Macaca fascicularis: one gene and its partner. The protein of the gene in region 2 binds, or shares a complex with, the protein of the main gene of each other region. Links are inferred from orthologs where the notes say so. Each region holds a gene or a part of one and is shown on either strand. Other genes may lie near its edges. The genes, in order: YWHAB and PEAK3.

The links.
Region 1: the proteins of PEAK3 (region 2) and YWHAB are in contact, whole or in part, in a cryo-EM structure (PDB 8DP5), measured with the Homo sapiens proteins. The link is inferred for Macaca fascicularis from reciprocal best matches to the Homo sapiens genes PEAK3 and YWHAB. Residues at the interface, in NP_940934.1 of Homo sapiens: Arg66, Thr67, Gln68, Ser69, Leu70, Pro71, Thr72, Arg73; in NP_003395.1 of Homo sapiens: Val48, Lys51, Asn52, Arg58, Lys122, Arg129, Tyr130, Gly171, Leu174, Asn175, Val178, Glu182, Ile219, Leu222, Asn226, Leu229, Trp230.

The regions. Positions count from the first base shown.
Region 1 is NC_088384.1:100,980,814-100,985,090, reverse strand, and holds the start of YWHAB (14-3-3 protein beta/alpha), read right to left. Parts: upstream 3,082-4,277; 5' UTR 2,909-3,081; exon of another isoform or gene 2,470-2,908; intron 1,139-2,469; 5' UTR 1,044-1,138; intron 1-1,043. UniProt on the Homo sapiens protein: Adapter protein implicated in the regulation of a large spectrum of both general and specialized signaling pathways. Binds to a large number of partners, usually by recognition of a phosphoserine or phosphothreonine motif.
Region 2 is NC_088393.1:2,936,753-2,941,266, forward strand, and holds the start of PEAK3 (protein PEAK3), read right to left. Parts: upstream 2,871-4,514; 5' UTR 2,277-2,870; intron 1,849-2,276; 5' UTR 1,774-1,848; coding exon 1,692-1,773; intron 1-1,691.

The DNA of each region.
Region 1 (4,277 bases), on a different chromosome or scaffold from region 2:
TTCTATGCCAAAGTAACTGATGACTTTCTCCCTAGTATGAAGCAAGTACTAGAAAAACTGGATTGTTCACAAGCTTGCTTCCTGATGCATGCTAACAATATCATCCCTACAGGCCAGAATGGGTATATGCTCCACAATAAATCGTCCTGTATCTATCTTCAAAAATAGCTAGTATTCCCATTCAAACGTTTATTAGGATTGGTGTGAAGAAAAATTAAGGACTAAATGGTGTTCACACAAAACATATACATGTGCTGTCTCTACCACACGTAGAAATCTATAATATCATTCCTTACAACCAGATCATCTGGTTTCATTCCTGGTTCTGGCACTTACCTTGTGCTGTGTGTGAGACCTCGGGAAAATTATTCTTCTCAGTGCCTTAGTTTCCTCATCTGTAAAATGGGGCTAATAGTCTTACCTTTCATTGGTTGTTATGAAGACTGAGCTAATATGCTTAAAGTGCTTAAAAGAAAGCTTAGCACACAGTAAGTACTGTAAGTGGTAATTATTATTATAGACTAATTGATACCACCTCATCAGATAAATCACAAATGGATGGATTCTATATAGATGTCCATGAATAGCACATATGCTATGTCTAATCTATACACGTGTATATTCATGCAGATGGTTAAACATCTATTGAACCCCAACTATATCCCAGATGCTTATTTTCATTGAGCTTGTCACAACAAAAATTATCCAAAGCTGCATTACCATTTGCGCTATATAGATGAGAAAATGATTCAGAAAGACTAGATTTGCCTACATGCAAAATAAAGTCCCATAATAATATACCATTTTTTGAAAGCAACTTGTGTACAAAGCAGGGTTTAGTGTCATCAGATGTTAACTGGAGAGAAAAAGCCATTAATAGTGAACTCTAATTAAAAAACCAAAAGCTTCTATTTAACAATTTACAGTTTATAAAAAAGGCTTAATGATAACCCTGGAGATAAGAAAACTAAGAACCATAGACTAACATGCTGAAGATTCAGAAAGCTAGAAAATATTGCAGGCAAGATTTCAACCAAATTTACCTGACTCCAAGTCCAGTGCTCTTCCTGCTTCTCTATCCACAGCCAAATGGGCAAAATGCACTTTTTGTAGAGGCCCAAATCTCTGGAGACTCTGCCTAGAGAACCAGCATCGTGGGAATTTGCTCAGCCTGGTTTTATACAGGCTGCCTCCCTGATCTATAGTGCTCCAATTCTAAAATGGCTTCAATATAGCAAGCACTGCAAGACGGGAAATGTACAAAAGATTATAGGGTAGGAGTCATACTCCAGGGGCTGGCAATCCATATTTGCTACTGATGAATGAGGATATTCAATTTGAAAAAAACTAGGTGTAGAGTCTAGGCCAAATCACCTCATTTCTCATAAAGACTTCATCTGCAAGATAGGTGAATGGTTTCTTATCTCATTGGAGGGGCAGGCTAGGAAAATAATTCTGCAGTTGCTACAGGATTATTTGCCTTCCATTTTGAAAGCCACACTTAAATTTCTAACTCAGGTCCAATAAGATTGACAGGTTGTACACTCATACACTTCGTGTTGCCAAGGACAGGAATCCAAGAAAAATGAGGGCTCAAACAAATGAGATATCCCTAAGTAAGAAATAGGGTACCATGGAAGCAGTCAAGAAGAAATTCACCAAGAACAAATACTTATATAAATTTCCAACATGAAAATGCAAAAGCTGCAGGGTCCAGCTCCATAAACTGCATCTGTGTCTGGCTTCATATGAACTGACAGAATGAGAAATGCAGACAATTTTCATATTCTTATAAGTGCTTCACCTTTCTGTTTTGGCTTCCGTGGCAGGCTGATTTTATGTTCATAGCATCATCTTGCCAAATTCCATCTCCCACACAGGGTAAGCAAAATCAGGACCTGATGCTATCTAGCCTTACCAAAGAGAAATGCAATGAAGGCAACGACAAGAGACATGCATTTCACAGAAAGGTTGGCAAATTGCTTACCAAGGCTGCCACCTCTGGAAACCTCATTATATGGGAGTTCTCCATTTGCGGCAAAGATGCACTCACCTTCCCACCTCTTCTTCCCTCCGCTCCCCACCCCCCGACCAGGAAGCCACCGGGCAAATTTCAGACCGAAAAACGTGCTAACACACAATAGGGGGAATTTGGGGTAAAGACACAAAAGAATTTGGCATTAAATGACGGTAAATACTGTGGGAAAATATTCCGATTCTCATCCCGATATTTTTTCCTGGGGATCCGGCCTGACTCAGTAACCGGCTCCAACAAACACATTTCCTTGATTCAAACCCAATTCCCTTCCTAGGGAATCTTGGGTCCTGCCAGGCTCCATAACCAGTTAAGGATGATGAAATGGTTTTACTGCAAAATGGGAGGGGGTTCCCCCACTGCTGTCTCCCAAGGTTAAACCCCTTACTCATCCAGGAGGAGTCAAACAGGGGGACTGGGGCTAGAAAACTCACCCGCGTTTGATTAAATTTTAATTTCTGGAAACCGGAAAGCACGGAGCAGAGGTGACTGGGCTGAAGAGGACGGTTCTTGCCGACCAAGACGCAGGGAGGGGTCGCGTGAGGGACCGAATCAGATAGTGAGGGAGAGTCCGGGACCCTCGGCTCCGCTGTCCCTCACGGTGCAGCACAGAGTTGCACCCCGCCCGGCCGGCAGGACCTTAGGCGGCGAGGGAGGCCCGGGCCTCTCCAAGAGGTAAAGGGCCCGGCCCCGGAAACAGGGAGGGGCCGCTGCGAGGCCTGGCCTCGCCGCCGGCGGCCGCGCGAAGCGGAAGAGGCAGCGCACCGCTATCCCCCGGGGCCCACCCGCTGGGCCGCCGTCGTCGCAGCTGCCAAAGAGGGGCTTCGAATTTGGGCCCCCGGGGGCCCCGGTCGGACCCCGCGCCGCACTCACCGTGGGAGGGCTGCAGGGAACAAAGACCCTTCCGAGCGAAGCTCCAAGCGAGATGACCTCTTCCTTCCCAAGTCCACTCCTCAGGCAGCGGAAGCGGTGCCTGCAGTGGCTGCAGCGGCGGCGACTACCCCGGCTCCGGAATCGGCGGCGGCGGTGGCGGCAGCTCCACTTCCGCTCCGGTCACCACTTCCGCTCCGGTCCTGGCCGCGCCCCGCCCCACGCCGTGTTCTCATTGGGCAAGCGAGGCACGGGGTTGCCGCGGCCCCACGGGAGGGGCGCTGACGGAAGGGAGGAGGAAGAAGAACGAAGGGCAGGGTTGCCGCGGCCGGGGCAGGGCGCATGGCCGGGGGAGGGACCCAGGAGGAGGTGGGCGGAGAAGAAGGAAATGGGGCGGGGGAGCGGGAAAAGGAGGTGGGAGGAGAGAGGGCGGAGCTGGGGGTGGTCAAGATACGGGCTGTAAAGGCACCCGGAGGACTAGGAGTGAGGTCTGGGTGGGGGTTTCCTTTTCTGCTCAGACTGGAAACGCGCCAGGGCCAGGTACGGAGACTCGAGGTTTAGCAGTCCCCCCTCCACCCAGAAAGTAATCCTCACGGTGTCGGAAGCCGATGTCAGTCCTCTTGCTGTGTGCTTTGGGAATAGTGGAGGTAGGGAAGAACAGAAATTGCTCATCCCTCAATGTTCCCTTAATCCTCCTTTCAATCCTTCGGAGTACTTACTTTTTCCTTCTTTGGTAGACTGAAGAGGCCACTTGGAAGTGCCAGGAATCCAACGCACAAAGGTCTTTTTCAAAAACCTGTGTAGGGCCGAGCGCGGTGGCTCGCGCCTGTAGTCTCAGCACTTTTGGAAGCTGAGGTGAGAGGATTGCTTGAGGCCAGGAGTTGTAGGCTGCAGTGAGCTATGGTCATGACACTGCACTCCAACCTGGGCGACAGAGTGAGACCCTGTCTCCAAGAAAACCCCACAAAAATCTGTGTAGATGATTCCGTCTTTAAGATGCCCCCTCCTTGAGGAAGTTCAGGGAAGGAAACAGGCTTCCATGGCTCCCCTCCCCTCATGACTGCTCTCACAATTACCGACATTCTACTCCTCTCAAGGTAGTTGATTTTGTTTTGTTTTGTTTTCTGTTTTTGAGACAGAGTCTCTCTCTGTCGCCCAGGTAGTGTCACAGTCTTGGCTCACTGCAGTCTGTGCCTCCCAGGTTCAAGCAATTCTCCTGCCTCAGCCTCCTGAGTTGCTGGGATAACAGGGGCATGCCACCACTCCCGGTTCATTTTTGTATTTTTAGTAGACACGGGGCTTCGCCGTATTGGCAAGGCTGGTCTCAAACTCCTGACCTCAGGTGATCCACCCGCCTCAGCCTCTCGAAGTG
Region 2 (4,514 bases):
TCTCTCTGGCTTTTTTTTTTTTTTTAAGTCTTGCTCTATCGCCCAGCCTGGAGTGCAGTGGCCCAATCTCGGCTCGCTGCAACATCTGTCTCCTGGGTTCAAGCGATTCTCCCACCTCAGCCTCCCGAGTAGCTGGGATTACAGGCACCCGCCACTATGCCCGGCTAATTTTTGTATTTTTAGTAGTGGAGATGGGGTTTCACCATATTAGCCAGGCTGGTTTCAAACTCCTGACCTCAGGCGATCTGCCTGACTCAGCCTCCTAAAGTGCTAGGATTACAGGCTTGAATCATCGCACCCGGCCTTTTTTTTTTTTTTTTTTTTTTTGAGATAGAGTCTCCCTCTGTCGCCCAGGCTGGAGTACAGTGGCTCAATCTTGGCTCCCTGAAACCTCTGCCTCCCAGGTTCAAGGAAGTCTCCTGCCTCAGCCTCTCGAGTAGCTGGAATTATAGGCGTCCACTACCATGTCTGGCTAATTTTTGTATTTTTTTTTTTTTTTTTTTTTGAGACGGAGTCTCGCTCTGTCACCCAGGTTGGAGTGCAGTGGCCGGATCTCAGCTCACTGCAAGCTCCGCCTCCCGGGTTTACGCCATTCTCCTGCCTCAGCCTCCCGAGTAGCTGGGACTACAGACGCCCGCCACCTCGCCCGGCTAGTTTTTTTGTATTTTTTAGTAGAGACGGGGTTTCACCGTGTTAGCCAGGGTGGTCTCGATCTCCTGACCTCGTGATCCACCCTTCTCGGCCTCCCAAAGTGCTGGGATTACAGGCTTGAGCCACCGCGCCCGGCCACTAATTTTTGTATTTTTAGCAGAGACTGGTTTTGCCATGTTGGCCAGACTGGTCTTGAACTCCTGGCCTCAAGTGATCCTCCTCCTTGATCTCCCAAAGTGCTGGGATTAAAGGGTGGGATTACAGGCATGAGTTACCGTGCCCAGCCCCTCTCTCTTTTTTTTTTTTTTTTTTTTTTTGAGACGGAGTCTCACTCTGTCGCCCCGGCTGGAGTGCAGTGGCTGGATCTCAGCTCACTGCAAGCTCCGCCTCCCGGGTTTACGCCATTCTCCTGCCTCAGCCTCCCAAGTAACTGGGACTACAGGCGCCCGCCATCTCGCCCGGCTAGTTTTTGTATTTTTTTTTTTTTAGTAGAGACGGGGTTTCACCATGTTCGCCAGGATGGTCTCGATCTTCTGACCTCGTGATCCACCCGTCTCGGCCTCCCAAAGTGCTGGGATTACAGGCTTGAGCCACCGTGCCCGGCCTCCCTCTCTCTTTTTAATGGTATATATTTTTTTTCCAATTCATGGCTCACTGCAGCCTTGACCTCCTGGGCTCAAGGGATCCTCCTGCCTCAGCCTCCCCAGTAGCTGGGACTGCAGGCGCTTGACACCATGTCCATCTTATTATTATTATTTTTTTTTTGTAGAGATTGGGGGGGTCTCATTATGTTGCCCAGGCTGGTCTCCTGGACTCAAGGGATCCACCCGCCTCGGCCTCCCAAGGTGCTGGGATTACAGGCGTGAGCCAACACACCCCGCCCACCAACCCACAGGTTATTTTTCAGCCCTCGCCCACTCCGGGCCTTCCTGAGGTCACTCATTTTACCAACTGCTGCTGTTCCCAGAGGCCACGGTGTCCTCCACCCCCTGCCGCTCCCTGCACGCCCCCGGCCCAGGGCTCCCCGGGGAGCTGCTCACCGAGGTTGCTATATGTGGGCTGAGTCGACCAGGTGGGGTCGTCGGGCTCGGGGGGCTCTGTGGGAGTCTCCGGGCTGCTCATGTTGCTGGGGGAAGGTCAGACGGGGCGTGGTGGGGTGGCGCACGCACAGGGCGACATGGGAGGGGTCCGTGAGTGCTACAGCATGGGAGACCGTTGAGGCCCCCTGCTCCAGGGCCCTTGGTGAGAACAGGGGCACCCACACTCCACTCCCTTGTCCAGTTTTGACCCTGCTGTGTGATCCCGAGTGGGTTTTCTGCCCTCTCTGGGCCTACTTCCTCAATCATGAGGCAGGTGTGTCATCCATCAATCTTCCAGGCAGTGGGAAGGAACCCCCACTGCACATTTGGGATGGGGACAGAATGTTCAGCCTGAGAACAGGTCTTTGGGGGTCAGTTGTGGGGGAGACAGTGTCCAGGGACCCAGGGATCCACACTCAGGCCTCCTCCCTGAGGGCTCAGCTGTGCGGTTGCTGTCGGCAACCAGGCCCCAACCCACCCCCGCCCAGATCCCAACCTGAAAAAGTAACCGCTTCTGTCCAGCTCCCTGCTCCAGGAGCCCCCTACCTTCAAGACTGGCGTGCCCTCTGGGGGAGGAGGGGTCCTGGGGGACGAACTCCCAATGGCCACAGCCCCTGGCCTCGCAGGAGGGGTCTGACCTAGCGCCGGCAGCTGACAGGAAAACGTCCGGCCAACTGTCAGACCGCAGCCCGGGGTGGGGCGGGGGCATTTCGGCAACACTTCCCCACCAACTGCGGCCGCCCCCTCCCCTGCCCGCCCTCAGAGGACAGGATGTAGCCGGGAACAGCATCCCGGGCGGAGGGAACAGCCCGGACGGAGACCAGGAGGTGGGATCTGAAAGTCAATAGCACCAGGGCTGACAGCCTCAGAGGCCAGGCTGGGGTAGGGGCAGTGAGGAGCCCTGTGAGATGGGCAGAGGGGCAGAGCTGGCCCACCGTAGGGAGGGCACAGAACGTGGTGACGGCTGTCCCTGGAGAAGGTGAAAGTGGGGTCTGTGGGTTTCATTTCCCCGGGAACCGCCTCCCCTCCTGTGGCAGCATCTTGAGGAGCCCCCAGCGGCCCCCTGCCCGATCCCAGGGCCCCCGAATGCGGAGTGTGGGCGAGGACCCTCCCGGCTCTGCAGCGCCTGGCTGTGTGACTGTGGACAAATCCCCGCCCCTCTCCGTGCTCTGGCCAATAAAGAAAAGCGTCTCCCGCATCCCGCCTGGTAACAGCCCCGCCTGCTGGATTTCTCTTCGAAAAAACGGAATCGGCTCACTTTCCCCCTTCCCCCTTCCTCACTGCCTCGATGCATTTATTTAGAAAAGACGTTGTAGATAAAATCACCATAAATGGAAAAATCAAGAATGGAAAAAACCCAAGGAAAAGCAGACGCGGGGTGAAATTCCAGCTGAAGTGTGTGCCTGTCAAAACTGTCTTCTTTTTTTTTTTTTTTTGGAGACAGGGTCTCACACTGTTGCCCGGGCTGGAGCGCAGTGGGGCAATCGCAGCTCACTGCAGCCTGCAACGAACTCCTGGGGCGATCCTCTGGCTAGGGAAGGAGCCCACTACTCCTCCTGCTGCCCTCCTCCCCTCACCTTGCCTAGTTCACAAGACAGGAGGAGAGAGACAAAGCAAACAGTTAGAAAGAAACAAAAGTAAGATAAATAGCCAGACAACCTTGGCAAAACCATCCGGCCCTAGGAGTTAAAAAAAGTAATAATAGGCGGGGCGCGGTGGCTCACACCTATAATCCCAGCACTTTGGGAGGCTGAGGTGGGCGGATCACGAGGTCAGGAGATCGAGACCATCCTGGCTAACACGGTGAAACCCCGTCTCTACTAAAAATACAAAAAATCAGCCGGGCGTGGTGGCGGGCGCCTGTAGTCCCAGCTACTCGGGAGGCTGAGGCAGGAGAATGGCGTGAACCCAGGAGGCAGAGCTTGCAGTGAGCCGAGATCGCGCCACTGCACTCCAGCCTGGGCGACAGAGCGAGACTCCGTCTCAAAAAAAACAAAAGAAAAAAAAAAGTAATAATAATAACATTGACCCCTGACCTAAACTACTTGTGTTGTCTGTAAATTCCAGACACTGTATGGAAAAAGCATTGTAAAACTTTTTGGTCTGTTAGCTCATGCCTGTAGTCCCCATTCACGTTCCCCACATTTGCTCGATTTATCACGACCCTTTCACATGGACCCTTTAAACTTGTGAGCCTTTAAAAAGGCCAAGAATGTCTTTTTCGGGGAGCTCGGCTCTTAAGACACAAGTCTGCCGATGCTCCCGGCCGAATAATCCACTTCCTTCTTTAATCCAGTGTCTAAGGAGTTTTGTCTGTGGTTCGTCCTGCTGCACTGCCTCGGCCTCCCAAAGTGCTAGGATCACAAGTGTGAGCCAACCTGCCCGGCCCCAAAGATGTTCTTGCAGCAAAGATTGAGTGTGTTTCATGAGGGGTTCCCGATCCCATTTCCCTGAAGGAAATGGGCCCAGAGACAATATGGGCTCCATCCAGGGTCACACAGCAGCTCGAGGCTGGAAGCAGAGGTCCACAGAGCCACTGCTGAGTCCCCCTGGCCTCCCCCAATCCCCTGAGAAAGGGAAGGAGAGGAAGGAGACTACCTTTCCTTTATGAACATCCTTCGAGTGGGTCCCATGCCATACTTTTTTTTCTTTGAGTCAGGGTCTCGCTCCGTCACCTACACTGTGTCGCCCAGGCTGGAGTGCAGTGGTGTGATCATAGCTCGCGGCAGCCTCTGCTTCCTGGGCTCAAGTGATCCTCCCACCTCAGCCTCCTGAGTAGCCGGG